Linked DNA regions of Caenorhabditis elegans. The protein of the gene in region 1 purifies or fractionates together with the protein of each later gene. This does not show direct contact. Each region holds a gene or a part of one and is shown in the gene's direction. Other genes may lie near its edges.

Region 1 (5,891 bases):
ATGAAACTGAGAACACTTGATATACTTTCTGCAAATGTTTGCATTTGAAAAAAATACGAAGTAGGTGGTCTGAAAATATTAACTATCACTTTTGAAAAATTAGTCATTTTTTAAATTTCTTTTGTAACATATTTTCAATGCTCCAATTTTCAATTTTGCAGAAACAAACGTGATCTGTTTCATTATCTTGATAAAAGTTAGCAACATTGAAACTTTACAATGCTTGTTTCTGCCGCTCTTTCACATCTCGTGATTGTGTACAGGGAAAAATTTAAATTAAATTTTTACCATGCCCCCCTGCAAAGATATTGATAAGAGTTGGGGAACACTTTTTTAATGGGGATGTTGCAAGCTTGACGTTTTTTAGAAAATCGCGCGAAAAAAAAAACTGTACGATGAAAGTTTTTGAGTTTTTTTTCGTATCACCCACCCATCCTGATGTTCTCTCCACTATGGGTGGTATGTCATGAGTCGGCCGTCGGACCACCCATACAGGGGTCTTAAAGTTTCGAATTTTTGTCAAAATTTGGGATTGCTCCTATGGAGCTGGAATTTGACATACGTACTCATCTCGTGATTGTGTACAGGGAAAAATTTAAATTGAATTTTTACCATGCTCCCCTGCAAAGATATTGATAAGAGTTGGGGAACACTTTTTTTCAAGGGTGTCATCTTTGACTTCGCATATCTCAGGATATGTTAACGGGATTGTTTTGAAAATCACGGAACATATGTACTAATACTTGCTGAACATGATAATTTTGTCGGACCTTCCAAACTCGCAACCGTTCGCCCAACCGATACGATTGTCTGTTTATCAGCTTGCTGAGAGACTGTTTTTCACACAGCTTCAAAATGTTCAACTAATGTTTTATCAATTTTTTAAGGGTTCATTTGATAACTTGCTGACAAGTAGAATGCGTACAAAAAATCCGCCAAAATCCCATCTTGGACCACGACTTATCGGTTATTATCAGTTATTATTACTTTCGATCGTGTAGACATCAGGAAGTACACCGAGACCCAAATTTTCAACGAAATCGAAAGCCATAATTACTGTGAGCAGATTCCACCCAAAACCCGCTTTTGAAACGGTCCTCATCAAGAGATATATGCTTATCAATTCGGGTTTTTTTTAAATACTTTTTTTCATATTTAAACAGAAAAAAAATAGAAAATACTTTTCCATCGAAGCTTTTTGTCAACGATTTTTTTGATTTTCAAATTGTGTCCACGAACAGAAAACTATATCGAAAAAAATTAGTGCGTGGTTAAAAACTTACTGAAACAGATAAAATGTATTGAGAATGTCATAATTTCAAAATTTTTTCGAAATTGAAAATTTGAAATACTGCAATTTTTTGGTGCATTCAGTGTTGTACTACACATATTCGCACTTCAAAATATTTGGAAAAAATTATTTTCAATAACTATTAAAAATTTGAAACATTAATCTATGTCTTTAAATGTTAGCCAACAATTTTTTGAAAAACGGCTAAAAATTAAAAAAAAACTGTTTCAGATTATTAGTAAGTTCATTATGTTAAGAAAACTTTTCATTATGTTAAGAAAACCCTCGACTTTTCTATTTACCTTCTCAAATCTTCATTTTTGAAAATTCATTTTGTGAAAAGTTTTTTAAATAGCACTTTTCAGTTTTCTTCAACGTATTTTAACTAACTCGCTGTGCACTACTAATAGGGGATGACCAAATCTTCAAAATAATTCCAATTTCCCATAGCATGTTGCCCAATGATAAATGTATACCTAAACAGGTTTCCTGTTTCACATTTATCTTATTACACTGTTCACTTCTGTTTCTGCCCCTGTGATCAACATCACACAAAAAAGTTATTTCTCAGAAAAATATTATTTTTCTGTTTCATAATCTTCATATATTTGTGTCTAAATATGAAATTACTGATTCTCCAGTTGACTCTATTTCAACTCAATTCAATTTTTGCACAAGACAATGCGGCGGACTTGGAATTCTCCCCGTATGTGTTCAAACACGTGGATATTCCATTTAAAAATGTTAGTTTGCATCGGTTCCGTTACCGATTTAAAATAGAAAAGTCGAGGGCCCCGGAAAATGTCGGGCATTGTGAAATATTATTTTTTAGTCTTCAATGGCCAATTGAGACCAATTGAGTAATTTTTCTTAACATAATGAACTTACTAATAATCTGAAACAGTTTTTTTTTTTAATTTTTAGCCGTTTTTCAAAAAATTGTTGGCTATCATTTAAAGACATAGATTAATGTTTCAAATTTTTAATAGTTATTGAAAATAATTTTTTCCAAATATTTTGAAGTGCGAATATGTGTAGTACAACACTGAATGCACCAAAAAATTGCAGTATTTCAAATTTTGAATTTTGAAAAAATTTTGAAATTATAACATTCTCAATACATTTTATCTGTTTCAGTAAGTTTTTAACCACGCACTAATTTTTTTCGATATAGTTTTCTGTTCATGGAGACAATTTTGAAAATCAAAAAAATCGTTGACAAAAAGTTATTGTAAGCTTCGATGGAAAAGTATTTTCTATTTTTTTTTCTAAAAATAAATTTTTCAGTTTGAAAAAATTAGTATGAATTTTATGGACATATTGATTGAATTCAGACAAAATTAAAATTAATAACTAATTTTCATGAAACAGTAATTTTTTTTAATTGAAAAATGAATTTTTAACAATACGAAGCTGTTTGATTTAGTTTATTTTTGAAATAGTTTGATGTCCTGATAGTTAATTTTATTTCCGGAGGGAAATCTATTTGCATTCACAAAATTTGACTATTTCAAACCATTTTTAAATTGACAGCAAAATTTCTAAAGATAGTGATTGTTTGGCCACAACATTTCATATAAAAAAATTAAATTTTAAATTAATGACAGGAAAATATATATGTTTCCAGAAATTTGAAAATTGATTTTTTAAAGAAAAAAATTAATTTGAAATAAAATTTGTATTTTCTTATTTTAACCACAAGAAATAAAAAAACCGCTTGTTCAGACATATTTCATGTACATGTGAAGCTACAAATTGCTAATTTTTTTTCGGTTTCGTCCGTTCTATAATAATAAATAAAAAATAGAAATCCTTCTTCAACTAATGGAAATAGTGAAACTGAATTTTTTTTTTGCAAAAAAAAGTTGATCTCACCACACATAACTTTTTACGGAGATTTCAAAATGCAAGTTCCACACAAATTTAAACACTGAAAATTCCTGCAACAACAATAAATATTATAATGACTACAGTACTCTTTAAAGGCACACGTATTTTTGGACCTGAAGAAACGCGAATCGTAGTGTTTTCTTTTTCAAACCTTGAGAATTAATCACAGTTTTGAAACAGTAATTTTTTGATTTAAAAAATCCGAAAAAATTTCCTGTTTCAAACAGCTGCCAAAATCAAAAAACTTTCAAATAATTATTATCATCTAGTCATTGATTCATCGATTTTGTTAATAAGCTTTCCATTGTTTTCTTTTCAAATTTTTGGCGTTCGAAAGTGAAAAATCTTTTTTCTTAAAAAATGTCTTTGTGATTTTTATTTTATCATTTTCGGGTGAGAAATAATGTTTTTTTAAGCAATGAAACATCTTCCAAAACTTATTAAAAATGTTTGAATTCACTGGTTTACCGCCAAATACATACACATCGAGACCCGACTGTTGATAACGGGGGCGTTTTTAATTGGCCGTGGAGCACATTTGCAATTTTTAAATTGCAATAATAGCAAGTTTTTGGGGAACCTAACTGTTTTTCTTTTGAAATTGGGTAAATTATAAAGAAATGCATTTCGAAATGTTAAAACTATATGTAGTTTCTTTTCGATTTTTGAAAAAAAAACATCCTGTTTCAAAAATTTCAGAAATTAGTACTCAAAAAAATTTCTATGAGGATTAATTGTATTTTAGGGCAAAAATCAGAAACAATATATTCAACAAGTTAAAAAGTCCATAATACTGTTTTCTTTTACAAACTTTGAAAATTAATCACAATGTTGAAACAGTGGATTTTTTTTTCAATGAAAAAAATCCAAAAAAAATTTCCTGTTTCAAAAAGTTGTCAAAATCAAAAAACTTTCATCTCTCTATTATCTCACATCTATTATCATCAATTCTTGATTTGGTTAATACAGTGCATATTTTCCAACTTCTACGAAAGGCGCGCGCATTTTCGCGCAATGGTCTCGCCACGCGCATCCCATTGATTTGACGGGACCATTTTGTATAAATGCGCGCGCCTTTAAAGTCGTAGAAGTGGAAAAAAATGCACTGTAAGTTTTCCATTGTATTTTTTTCAAATTTTGGACGTTCGAAAGTGAATAATGTTTGTTTAAATAATTTGTTTATTTTATCGATTTCGAGTGAGAAATAATGTTTATTTTAGCAATGAAACATCTTACAAAATTAATTGAAAATGTTTGAATTTACTGTAGTACCTACAAATACCCATCGAGACCCAACTGTTGGGGGCGGGGGCGTTCTCAAATGGCTGTGGAGCACATTTGCAATTTTTTAATTGCAACAATAGCATGTTTTTAGGGAACCTAACTGTTTTCCTTTTGAAATTTGGTTAATTATAAAGAAATGCATTTCGAAATGTTAAAACAACATGTAGTTTCTTTTCGATTTTTGAAAAAAAAATTCCTGTTTCAAAAATTTCAGAAATTAGTACTCAATATAAAAAAGACAACAAATCGGCAAAACAAATTGAAAAGTGTTTAATTTACTGTTCTGCCGATAGATACCTAACGAGACCCAACTATTGGGAGGCGGAACGCTTTCAATTGACCGTGGAGCGCATTTGCACGTTGAAAAATAAAAGAAAAATTCCTCGAACATGGGAAATTAATGCCTACAGTACTTATTAAAGGCGCACACTTTTCCGGAATAAATATCAAAGGAACTGTTTTCCTTTTAAAATAGGGGAAATTAATAAGATAGTTGAAACAGTAATTTTTTTCTTTTTTTGAAAAAAAAATCCTGTTTCAAACAGATCTCAAATTAATATTAAAATTTCTATTACGATTTTCCTATCAAATTATGTGCCTATTCAGAACAACTACGCAAAAGACTGGTTCGGCTCCGACGTGGCTCTCGTACAACATCCATTACTAGGTGAGAAGCTTCATCTCCAGCTTAAAATCCAAATTTCAAAAAATTTCCAGCTCCTGCAAAATCAGTAAAGCCAGGAAATCCGGTGTCACTGCCAACAATTGCTCCATTAATTGTGAAATGGTCAGATTTGAACAATGTCAAAGTTAATGAACAAATCGGACAGAATTTCGAAAAGAGAATTGATTCACATGTTTGGTGGCCGAATAAGTAGTTGAAATTTCCAATAAAAATCTTTTGTTTTAAAATGAATAGGCAATCAAAGGCAAATACAAAGAAAAGCACCTGATCTGTGGGGGAAATGTATAAGAACAGAGCGAGAAATTGTACAAGAATGGGTGAGGAGAAGTGTATTATGTTATAAGTACACCGGAAACCTGTAGGGAAAAAAACGGAAAAAAAAGGAAAAAAATAAAATAATTTAGAAAATAAGGCATCATCAAACACGATCATAACACACACAAAACGTCGCGAGATAATAATTTTTGTCGATAATACAATGCGGAGTGTCGCCAAACTTGTTCACGTGGCTCATTGATCCAAAATCCAGCTTCACCTCATCTCGTACAATATCGTAGAACAGGGTAACTTCGTAGATCGCTTCTCCGGGAGTTGTCTGCAGCTTCAGTTGATAATGAGCGAATGCGGCTTTCGTGGAACCTGAGAGGTCAGGCACAAAACCATCGGCATCTTTCACGTTTTTGTAGGCGAGTAGGCCTTTGTCGGGGAGAAGTCTGGAAATTGGAAATTGGCATTTTCAGA
Region 2 (3,833 bases), on another chromosome or scaffold:
TTTTTTTATGACGAGAGTATGAAAGGGGAGGTGGGGGTTGACGAGTTGTTAACCCCTTTGCATTGACACTCCAAGGTTTATTTGAATTTGAGGAATAGAAACATTAGAGAATAATGGAACAAAACATTTGAGAAATTCAATGTGGAAATGAGAAAAACAACTTATGACGAATTTCAGGATATCAAAAATTTAATTGTGAAGTGTTCAAGGATTTTAAATACCATCTGGATGGAGAATGGAAACACAGTGATAGATCATTCAATTTTATGAAAAAAACACAGATGACTCAAAAACTTTGAACTACAGTTGCCATGTGTGCCAAATGTTGAATGTATGATACATCATTGAAAGCGGCCAAACTAGACTGGTGGAGCTGGCGTGCGATCTGAAATATTTTCAAAATCATATCTCTAATTAACTCGAATTGTTGTACAGAAGTTGGCTCAAAAAACCCAGAAGTGCACAAAATCATTTTTGTCTATTGCAGTGTATGAGCTCTGAATTTCCAGCGTAAATATATGTTTTTGTAATTTGCATTCGGTCAAGATTTGGTCACTTTATCTTTTTTATCTCAAGATCATTTATATCGTATTTCTCTTTGATTTGATTATACCTTTACAACTAGATAAATAAACAAATATATACATATAGTAAATAGTATTTTGAATTGAAGCTCTATCAATCTGTGATTCAAACTATCTCAACAAAACATAATTGAGAAATAACCAAATTGTTTAATCGAGTTCTTTTTTCTTGTTTCATTCATTAAAACACGTTCCAAGTTTTTAAACTCTTCACAAGCCACCACCAATCCAATAAAAGCAATACTTATTCATCTTTTATGTATCAGAAAAAAAAAGATTATTGATCAGGAAAAGAAAGTGAAATCGGACATTTGGTCATCACAATAAAAAGAGAAAAAGCGATAAGTTCTTTACAATTACTATCCATCATTCCCGATTATTCTCGCTTTTTTCCGGAATTTTTTGTCATTCCGAGTGAATGCTAATGTTGACATTGATTTGGGATAAATATCCATAAGTCATCCATCAATTGTTGCTTCATCTTTCTTTTCTTTCAAACTTTGAAAAATGCATTAAAAAACAGTTGGTAAACAAAACTATAGATATTTATTTTCCAAATCGTTTCTGTGAAATTTTACTGAAATAGATCCATTTGCTTTTCCTTAGGTTTGAAATTTTCACAGTAAACAGCTAATAAAAATTGAGAAGAAGATAAAGCAAATAACAGATTTTGAGAAGTATTGAGTTCTGTTTGTTTGTTATATATTTTCACTACTTTGGAATTTCTGAAAGCAAAACAGTTCCGAAGTATTGGTGGAAATAACAATAACAGGAACGATTTCTCTGGGTATTTATCTGTACTAGTATCCATTTCAGGAAGCTCAAATACTAACTCTAGACATCTCAGATGTTTGTTCAATCACTCTCCCGTCATATTTTCCTTTTCTCTCTCTTCATCTCCACCACGCCCTTCTTCTCAACATCTCTGCGCATCCACAAACTTCCATATTCCGCCTACTCTTTTTCTCTAGCAACTCTCCACTTAATGGATACTGTACAGAAGGTGTATAGATGGGTATAAAAGTGGATGGGTGATAGGTGGCAGTCATCAGTCTCGAAGTTGTAGAATCGAGAGAGATACGAAAATGGCACTTTGGCAGCTCACATTTGCGGCTCTTTTTGCGTTCGTCGCTGCTCAGCCAGGTTTGCTTCTAGTTTCTCATCATAATTTTTTATCTCAGCAGTTTGAAAATAGAACTACTGGATACAATTTTCCAATACCGAATATCAACATTTCCAGGACCGAAAATGGTTGACGAAACGACTCGCTGGAGTCAATGTAAAGACACAAACCAATCTATTTACGATTTCCAGGTAAATTTGAAATTTGAAAGGAGCTTTTGTTATCCATAAATTGGTTTAGGTAGAAACACTACAAGGAGAATACACAGACCTTAGTCAATACCGTGGACAGGTGCTTCTCATGGTCAACGTTGCTACTTTTTGCGGTGAGTTGTCTTATAATATCTCTCTCTCTCTTTTTTTTGTTTAGAAGATTTAGAAGATTATAAGATTCATGAGATCTCATCCCATTTCCGGCTTTTGCAAAAGATGCAACCCAAACCATATCACTTTTCTCCAAAACTTGGCCGAAACAGATAGACTATATCATAACGAACATGTTTTCAGAGAAAAAATTTATTAAAAAATTGTCTCACACCCATTTTTATACTCAGGATTTTTTAGTATATAGATTATCACGATTCTTTTCGATTTTCGAATGTTAAAAAGAGATAGAAACATTTCCCAAAACAATTCTACCGATGGAACATATGGCTGATTGCTTAACACGTTCGACGCCATTCGGTCGTTTATCAATGTCTATTTGAACCTTATAAACAACGATGAAAATTGAAACAATTCTAGCGTACACCCAGCAATACACGGATTTCAACCCCCTTATCGAGAAGTACCAATCCCAAGGATTTACTCTCATTGCCTTCCCATGCAATCAATTCTATTTGCAAGAGCCAGCTGAGAACCATGAACTGATGAATGGAATAATGTATGTTCGTCCTGGAAACGGATGGAAGCCACACCAGAACTTGCACATTTATGGAAAGCTTGACACCAACGGAGACAACCAACACCCAATCTACGAGTTTGTCAAGGTCAGTTTTAGACCATTACCGCCAACTAGTCAGGGGGTCATTTCCTTTATTCGTTTCTTTACACCAAGGTCAAACAACAAAATAATATGTTTCGGGGGTAGGAATTGAACACAACAAAAGAATGGCATTGTGTTCAGTTTACACTGCCAATGGTCTCTTCTACATTCTCGACCATTCGGCAATCATTCATCTTATTTTACATTGCAGGAGTCTTGCCCACAAACTGTTGACAAAATTGGAAAGACTGATGAATTGATGTACAACCCAATTCGTGCTTCTGATATCACATGGAACTTCGAGAAGTTCCTTATTGACAGAAATGGACAACCAAGATTCCGCTTCCACCCAACTGCTTGGAGCCACGGAGATGTTGTCACTCCATTCATTGAGCAACTCCTTGCTGAGCCAGCTAATTAATTGGTTATTAACTAATTGACAATCATTGATTTCATTCCAATGTGTGTGTATACTTTCGTAGTACCGACCCACATGTCAATCAGGGGTTGCTTTGTTCTTGTATAGCGAATATCATAAGATATTGTGCTTCTCCACGTTTTAATTGCCTCCGGGTTTTTCTCCGTTCCTGTATTTACGTTCCGTCGAAATAAAGTAGAATATCACATTAATCATACTTTTCATGGAAAAATTAAAAAAAAAATTGCTCGCACAAATACATTAATCGAAAAGAGTTTACTACTAAATTTGAATTATTCTGCTATTTTTTTCAGTACACAGTGCATATATTGGATAAACTGACACTGGAAGCAAAATTGGATAATCTAGCTTTGTTATACAAACAGAATACTGTTTTAAATTGCATGATTAAAAACGAATGTGTTCAGCAAAAACATTCGAGATAAAAAAGATATCTCTATACCTATTCCTGTTCCTGATATACCTGTCTATCATAACCTTATATTTTTAAAAGCAAATTTTTTAGCCAGAATACGTTAATAGTTTTTAAATCCGCCTGAAGAAATAAACAAATATCACGTCCAGTTTGAATGAATATATAAATGAAAGTTACACTTATTTTTTATGTGTGGTATTATACAAATACAAAAAGGAATTTTTCACCCTTTTGTTCCATAATTTGTTATGTTCACCCTAAGTGATTAGTTCACAGGTATGAGTGGTG
Region 3 (6,431 bases), on another chromosome or scaffold:
CAACGATGGGAACTGATAAAATAATATAATGCACCGTCCGTTTAAAGTCAAAAATTGCAAATTTTTTCATAGAGCACACACACAAATACTTCTAGAAAATGAGGAGGGAAAAAGTACATTCTAACGAAGGAATACACGAGGATTCGGGGGGAAAATCGATAAATCGATAATTTTTATGGGGAATTTATTTATTATTGATGAGTCGATTGGCCACTGTGTTCACGCTTGATGGGACGTTCTCGATTGTGGTGAATACCTGAAAAAAATTGAGTTTGAAATTGTTGGAAATGCGCTCCACTGCACTAGCTTGGGTCTCGCAGCGAAATCGCGTAAATTTGAAATTCCGGTGAAAAAAAACGGCAATTTCAGGTATTTTCTATGCTTTTTGAGTGGGAACTTGGAGAAAAGTGCGATAGAGCGCGTTTGCATTATTTTCGGATAATGTTTGAATTTCCTACAATATTTCTGGTCTCGCAGCGAAATCGTCGGAATTTTGCTAATGTCTGTAATTTTCTACGCGAAATTTTGAAAAAAAAGTGCCATGGAGTGTGCTTGCATTTTTTTTAAAAACAATTTCAGAATTTTCTCTGAATTTTGGACTAAAAATTGCGTTTTGCATTATCTTTCCTACAAAACCAGAAGTTTAAGACTTTTCGAGTCAGAAATTGGAAAAAAGTGCGATGGAGCGTACTTGCATTTGGTTAATTTTTGACGTGGAATTTTTTTTGAATTTCGCTTTTTGTGAAAAAAAGTGTTTTGCATTATTTTCAGCAATTTTCTCCAAAATTTGTGTCTTTTTGTCATATTTTTCCTAGTTTTAGGCACTTTTTTCGACGTTTAGCTCTGAAATTTGACTAAAAATGACTGAAAATTTATATTTTTCAATTTTTCAGATAGATTTTTGAAATTATGGAATTTCTTGAACGTTCGGCGCCAAATCTCCATTTTCCAGGACTTTTTTCCAACTTTCGCAGCAATTTTTCCGTGTTTCCTCTCAAAAATGCAGCCTACCGAGTCAACAGCACTGTTCCACTTTCCACCGGCCTTCAGCTGCACATCTTCGACTGTTGGGAGCTGAAAATAAGAAAAAAATTGCATTTTCAGAGAAAAAATCGATAAAACCTGCTCTGGAAAGACGACGGTGCCGGGAAGAATGTACTTTTTAAGCTTTTGATACAGTTCGCTGCCCTGAAAATGAAAATTTTCGTGGAAAAACGGGGGAAAACTAATACTTTAACATTGTTAGTCGACCAAATATCGTTATCGATTGACAGTTTGACGGCGCCGGCGACGAGTCCAACTTTAATTCCGAGTTTTGCAGTTTTCCACAAGAATCCCATGTTGCCGACCTGAAAATTCGAATATTTTGTGTGAAAAATCAGTTATTTTGCAACAAGACGTGAAAAATAAATAAAAAATCACAAATTCAAGAAGAAAAGTTCAGAAAAACTGAAAAAAAATCGGAAAAATAAAATGAACGTCGCGCGCACGAGAAATGCGCAAGCAAATCGAGACTCGCGTCAGAGCACGAGAAACGCGCCAGCCTCGTCTGCGTTTCTCTTCTCACAATGCTCTCTCTCACTGAAATAAGCTTATAAGCTTAAAAGTCTGCAAATCTTTAATTTGGCGAGGGATAATCGAAAATTTAAGCTCACAGATGCCTAGAAAATTAAATTTTAAGTAGATTATATTAAAATTTCATAAAAATAATGATAATTAACGGTATTTATTAAAGTTTTAGATTTCATCAAATTTTCAGACTATACTATAGTCTTGCAATTTTCAAAGAATTTTTCCTGCAAAAAACAAGTACAAAGCATTGATCAAATTAACACTATCAAGTTGACAGTGTCAACGTTTAATCCCCCAGCAGTATTTCCCTTAAATTGATCACTGCACTTTTCGTTATCACCACGAGCATCATAAATTTTTTTACTTATTTAAAATTCCGGTTTCTGATGCACCATGGTCAACTCGCCGGTTCCTGTCCGATTTCTGGTACTTTTTGAACTCAAAACCCCCGGAAAATTGAATTTTCACGATTTTTTTGCAGATTTTAATATGTGCCACACTGTGTTTGACCTCGATTCTTTCAAATATGAATACTTATAATTTTACAAAAATTTGTATGCAAGATGATAATAGTACTTCAACTTCAAAAGGTTTTTTTTTTAATTCGGTGGCCGAGTTTTTCCATTGGCGGCCGCCAAAATAGTTGATTTTTTCAGTGAACTATACCAAATCAGAGTCGAATTTTCTTCAATCGTGTGTGGCTATTGGAAGTCTTGCCGCCTCGATTCCATTTTCCATTTCTTTTCAACATTTGCCGCATAAACCTGTCTTCATTGTCGCCGGAATTATTTCGGGAGGTATGACGTCAATCGTGGCCGCGAAAAAAAAAAATATCGGTGGCCGAGTTTTCTGTAGTTTTTATTTGTTTCGAGAAAACTGACTAATTTCTATAGACTAATTTTATAAAAACTGTGCATTTTGTCGTCAGATCCAGTGCATGCGTATTTTCAAAGCTACAGTACCCCAAAAAGCATGCATCGAAAGCATACAAAATTTTTGAAATTGATCGTCAAATATGGTGTATTGCACAGTGGGCGTTGAATTTGACGCGCAAAACAATAATCTGATTTTTCGAAACAAAAACATGGTGCATGAAGCACAAAAAATTGTGAAAAATTCCGCGTAAGCACGTGGTGTCAGGCTGTCCCATCACGGTTTGATCTACAAAAAATGCGGGAATTATTTGCCCGAAAATATGTGACGTCAGCACGTTCTTAACCATACGAAATCAGTTGAGAACTCTGCGTCTCTTCTCCCGCATTTTTTGTAGATCTACGTAGATCAAGCCTAAATGAGACACTCTGATACCACGTGCGTAAAATACTGAATTAAGTATTTAAGAATCATATTTTACGCGCAAAATAAAACAGATTTCACGAATTTTTCTGAAATTAAAAAAAAATTATCGATTTTTCAAAAATTATTGACATTTATTGTCCGAGAGGAGTACACCAAGCATCATTAGAGCGCGTTTCCATTTTTTAAATTTTAAAATTGCGCGTCAAATATGATGTATTGCACTCAATTTTTCCAGTTTCAACAGCCCTTATCCCGTTGGCAAGTACCATTGGCTACGGATGGTTTGTGGCCGCCCGTATTTGTCAAGGAATGGCATTTTCAGCCACATTTCCCCTCGCTGGCTCAATTACAGCAAATTGGGCGACCCCATACGAGCACGGAGTATTCATTGGCCTATTAACCGGAAATACACAACTTTCAAATATATTTACAATGCCAGTTTCGGGATGGTTATGCTCTTCGTCTGGTGGATGGACGTCGGTTTACTATGTGCACGCCGGTGTATCGTTGGTCACTTTTTCGCTGTTTTTCCTATTTTTCAAGTGCTCGCCGAGTGAGCACAGTTGGGTTGGCGAGAAGGAATTGGAGAGGATTCGAGAAGGGAAATCGGGAAAGAAAGTGAGTGCAAACGCGCTCTACCGGACACAAATTATAACTAGATTTTGGAGCGGAAAAAAACCTGAAATTGTACCACGTATCATTTTTGAGAAAAACGCGCCCGAAGGACTACGGAAAGCCCAAGCCTAAGCGCACGTGGTGCCTGGCTGTGCTATTACGGTTTGATCTACCAAAAATGCGGGAATTTTTGCCCCAAAAAATGTGACGTCAGCACACTCTTAACCATGCGAAATCAGTAGAAAACTCTGCGGCTCTTCCCCCGCATTTTTTGTAGATCTACGTAGATCAAGCCGAAATGAGGCACTCTGACACCACGTGTAAGCCTAAGCCTAAGCCTAGGCCTACGCCTAAGCCTATGCCTTAGCCTATGCCTAAACCTAGGACTGAATTAGTGGGTTCCTCGGGGTACGCAATTTGTCGACAATTAAGACGTTCCCTCATTAGTATGAGAAAATCCCAAATTTTTCTAAAACTGCTAGCAAGGTAAATGGGTTTCATGTACGCAAATTTGCTTCAACTTCAAGATTTTTTACATGAGAGTAACCGAGTTTTCAAAACCTCGGCCACCACATCGCATTGCATGGCCTAACTTTTCACGGGCTTCGAATTTCCCCCATGTTTTCAAATGGAAGAGGTGGCCGTGAAAAAAGCGAACCTCGACCGGGGGTCGCGACCTGCGACAAACAGGAAAACTCAAAAAAAGTAGCGACAGTACGAAATTTCTTTGAGTTTTCCCGTTTGTCGCGAGTCGCGACCCCCGGTCGAGGTTAGCTTTATTCACGGCCACCTCTTCCATTTGAAAACATGGGGGGGGAAATTCGAAGCCCGTTACTTTTTCGTTTTGCAGGTATCCCGGCCAAAAAATCTTCCATTCCGTCATATTCTGACAAGTTTAAGCCTGTGGGCTTGTTGGATCGCATCGTTTGGAGATTTGATAACAGTTCAATTGGTATCCCAATTCAATCCGCAATATATGAAAAATTATTTGAACTATGACGTACTTTCGTCCGGTTTTTTGGCCGCCTTACCCATTATTTTTCAATTTTTTACGAAATTATCGTCGGGAATTATTAGTGATTATATTAAGTGAGTTTTTCGGGGGTTTTTCCTGGAAAAATAATTTTATAATTGTGAAAAAAATCAGTGGCCGAGTTTTTCCTCTCTACGGCCACCAAAAATCAATATTCCAGATTCATCTCAGAAACTCTGAAAACTAAAATTTTCAACACAATCGCTCTGGCCGTGGCCGCCGTTTTTTTCATCGTTCTAGCATTTATTCCACAGGAAAAACACTTGCTGGCTATTATTATAATGGTGAGTGGGTGGTGGTGGTGGCCTAGATAGGAAAACTCTTCCAGTGGGACAAGTGCGCTCAATTGATAATCCACGTTGAAAATAACCGATTATCAACATAGCGCACATACATCCATGGCCTAGTTTTCCTATTCTCTTCCATCATTCCAGATTTGCGCCGAAAGTGTGATGGGGTGCAATACGGCGGGATTCAACAAGTGTGCCACGTTGCACTCCCAGCAGTACGCCTATTTCGCAATGCAGCAGGTAAGGGGGTGGCCGAGAAAATTTTTAGGCCAACGATTTCTCTTCCAGATCATGAACATCTGGGCTTGCACGATATTCATCGAACCGTTTTTCGTCAATATGATTGTTACTGATGATACGTGAGTTTTTAGGGTATTCATGTAGGCACGCAGGCATGAGGAATGCAGGCAGGCATAGGTAAACTTAAAGGCAGGCATGTAGGTATATACGGTCTAGAAAAAAAAACACGGTAAGCGTAGGTCACTTTGGAGGCAGGCAGGAAGGCATAGGCATAGATAACCTATGTGAGCTGGACCGGCGTAGATTCCCTAAAAGACTATCGAAAAGGCAGATAGCATTAAAAGCAGGTAGATAGGCACAGGGTACATTGGGGTAGACGTAGATAGCATGTAGGCTGACCTAGGCCACCTTGAAAGCAGGCAGTTGACCTACATAGTTTGTAAGGTAGGCATAGGCCTAGAAGGCACTGACAAAAATGCAGGCAAACCAGCATAGGTCTCACTTGAAGGTAGTCAAGTAGGTAGGCAAAGGTCCCCTGCAAGGCAGACGTAGGCAGGCAGGCGTAGGTCCCCTAAAAGACAAGATTATTTTTTTCAGATTCACAGACTGGCGTAATTGTTTCCTGGCGCATGCGGGCTTACTTCTCTTCGTAAATACTATATTCTGCCTGTTTGCCGACGCCTCGCCAGCAAAATGGACCAGATTACAAGATGATGACGTGGCAATTGAGGAGGAAAAAGAAGAATATTCTGGAAGTATTGAAGATATTATTAAGTTGTAAAAGTTGTACACTACTGTATAAATTGTAAAAGTGTTCCGAAGATTTTCGGCGCCCCAATAAAATTGAATGGCTTCTAGCTGAAGCTTACCTCCTCCCTATGAAATTTATGAAAAAAAATTTGCGGACATTTTTCTATTATTATTATTACGTAAATGCCCCAATTTCTACCACAAATTCTTATAGTTTTGCAGTTTTTTGTAAAAAATTCGGAATTTTGTATTGGTGGGAGCAAGTGTCAGAGCTCCATGTGCTATTCGTGAGTTTTTTTAAAATCTTGTCTAGAAAATACTGTAATTAACATAGAAATAGGGCATTTGAAACATGGCCTAGGAAAAACTATTGGTGGCCGAGTTTTTTTCCGTAGCTGTGAAAAGTGAAAAACGAAAAACCTCGGCCACCATTCAACTTTTTGGAGCATTTTTACAATTTGGAAAATTTAAATTTTGGTGGAATTTTCTAGGCCACGCAGTAGAATTCTAGGCCACTTGACGAATTCTGGATTAAAAATTGATTATAATTTTGATTTTGCAAAAATTGAGAAAAAAAAACCAGAAAAATAATTTTTAATTTTAAAATTTACTATCAATTGAGTTGTTTTTTT

The links. Proteins that work in one complex are often made in the same cells at the same time.
Region 2: the proteins of Y41E3.22 (region 1) and gpx-5 fractionate together in Caenorhabditis elegans (co-fractionation; one large-scale study listed by BioGRID). This does not show direct contact.
Region 3: the proteins of Y41E3.22 (region 1) and W04C9.6 fractionate together in Caenorhabditis elegans (co-fractionation; one large-scale study listed by BioGRID). This does not show direct contact.

The regions. Positions count from the first base shown.
Region 1 is NC_003282.8:14,948,854-14,954,744, forward strand, and holds Y41E3.22 (Peptidase), read left to right. Parts: upstream 1-1,856; 5' UTR 1,857-1,911; coding exon 1,912-2,034; intron 2,035-2,126; exon of another isoform or gene 2,127-2,147; intron 2,148-2,465; exon of another isoform or gene 2,466-2,487; intron 2,488-2,594; exon of another isoform or gene 2,595-2,615; intron 2,616-2,842; exon of another isoform or gene 2,843-2,863; intron 2,864-3,053; exon of another isoform or gene 3,054-3,088; intron 3,089-3,293; exon of another isoform or gene 3,294-3,314; intron 3,315-3,437; exon of another isoform or gene 3,438-3,461; intron 3,462-3,953; exon of another isoform or gene 3,954-3,974; intron 3,975-4,106; exon of another isoform or gene 4,107-4,127; intron 4,128-4,707; exon of another isoform or gene 4,708-4,728; intron 4,729-4,899; exon of another isoform or gene 4,900-4,920; intron 4,921-5,042; exon of another isoform or gene 5,043-5,064; intron 5,065-5,070; exon of another isoform or gene 5,071-5,071; coding exon 5,072-5,132; intron 5,133-5,182; coding exon 5,183-5,343; 3' UTR 5,344-5,373; downstream 5,374-5,891. Other genes in the region: Y41E3.1 (Sulfatase domain-containing protein), read right to left, coding at 5,569-5,863.
Region 2 is NC_003284.9:9,583,026-9,586,858, forward strand, and holds gpx-5 (Glutathione peroxidase), read left to right. Parts: upstream 1-1,642; 5' UTR 1,643-1,669; coding exon 1,670-1,727; intron 1,728-1,824; coding exon 1,825-1,898; intron 1,899-1,947; coding exon 1,948-2,032; intron 2,033-2,450; coding exon 2,451-2,695; intron 2,696-2,902; coding exon 2,903-3,112; 3' UTR 3,113-3,319; downstream 3,320-3,833.
Region 3 is NC_003279.8:483,525-489,955, reverse strand, and holds W04C9.6 (MFS domain-containing protein), read left to right. Parts: upstream 1-1,563; 5' UTR 1,564-1,965; coding exon 1,966-1,998; intron 1,999-2,053; coding exon 2,054-2,162; intron 2,163-2,228; coding exon 2,229-2,369; intron 2,370-3,106; coding exon 3,107-3,489; intron 3,490-4,336; coding exon 4,337-4,575; intron 4,576-4,679; coding exon 4,680-4,803; intron 4,804-4,953; coding exon 4,954-5,049; intron 5,050-5,097; coding exon 5,098-5,168; intron 5,169-5,646; coding exon 5,647-5,830; 3' UTR 5,831-5,917; downstream 5,918-6,431. Other genes in the region: W04C9.2 (MICOS complex subunit MIC13), read right to left, coding at 185-256, 1,012-1,074, 1,123-1,188, 1,233-1,340; W04C9.9 (Zinc finger protein), read left to right, coding at 6,076-6,086.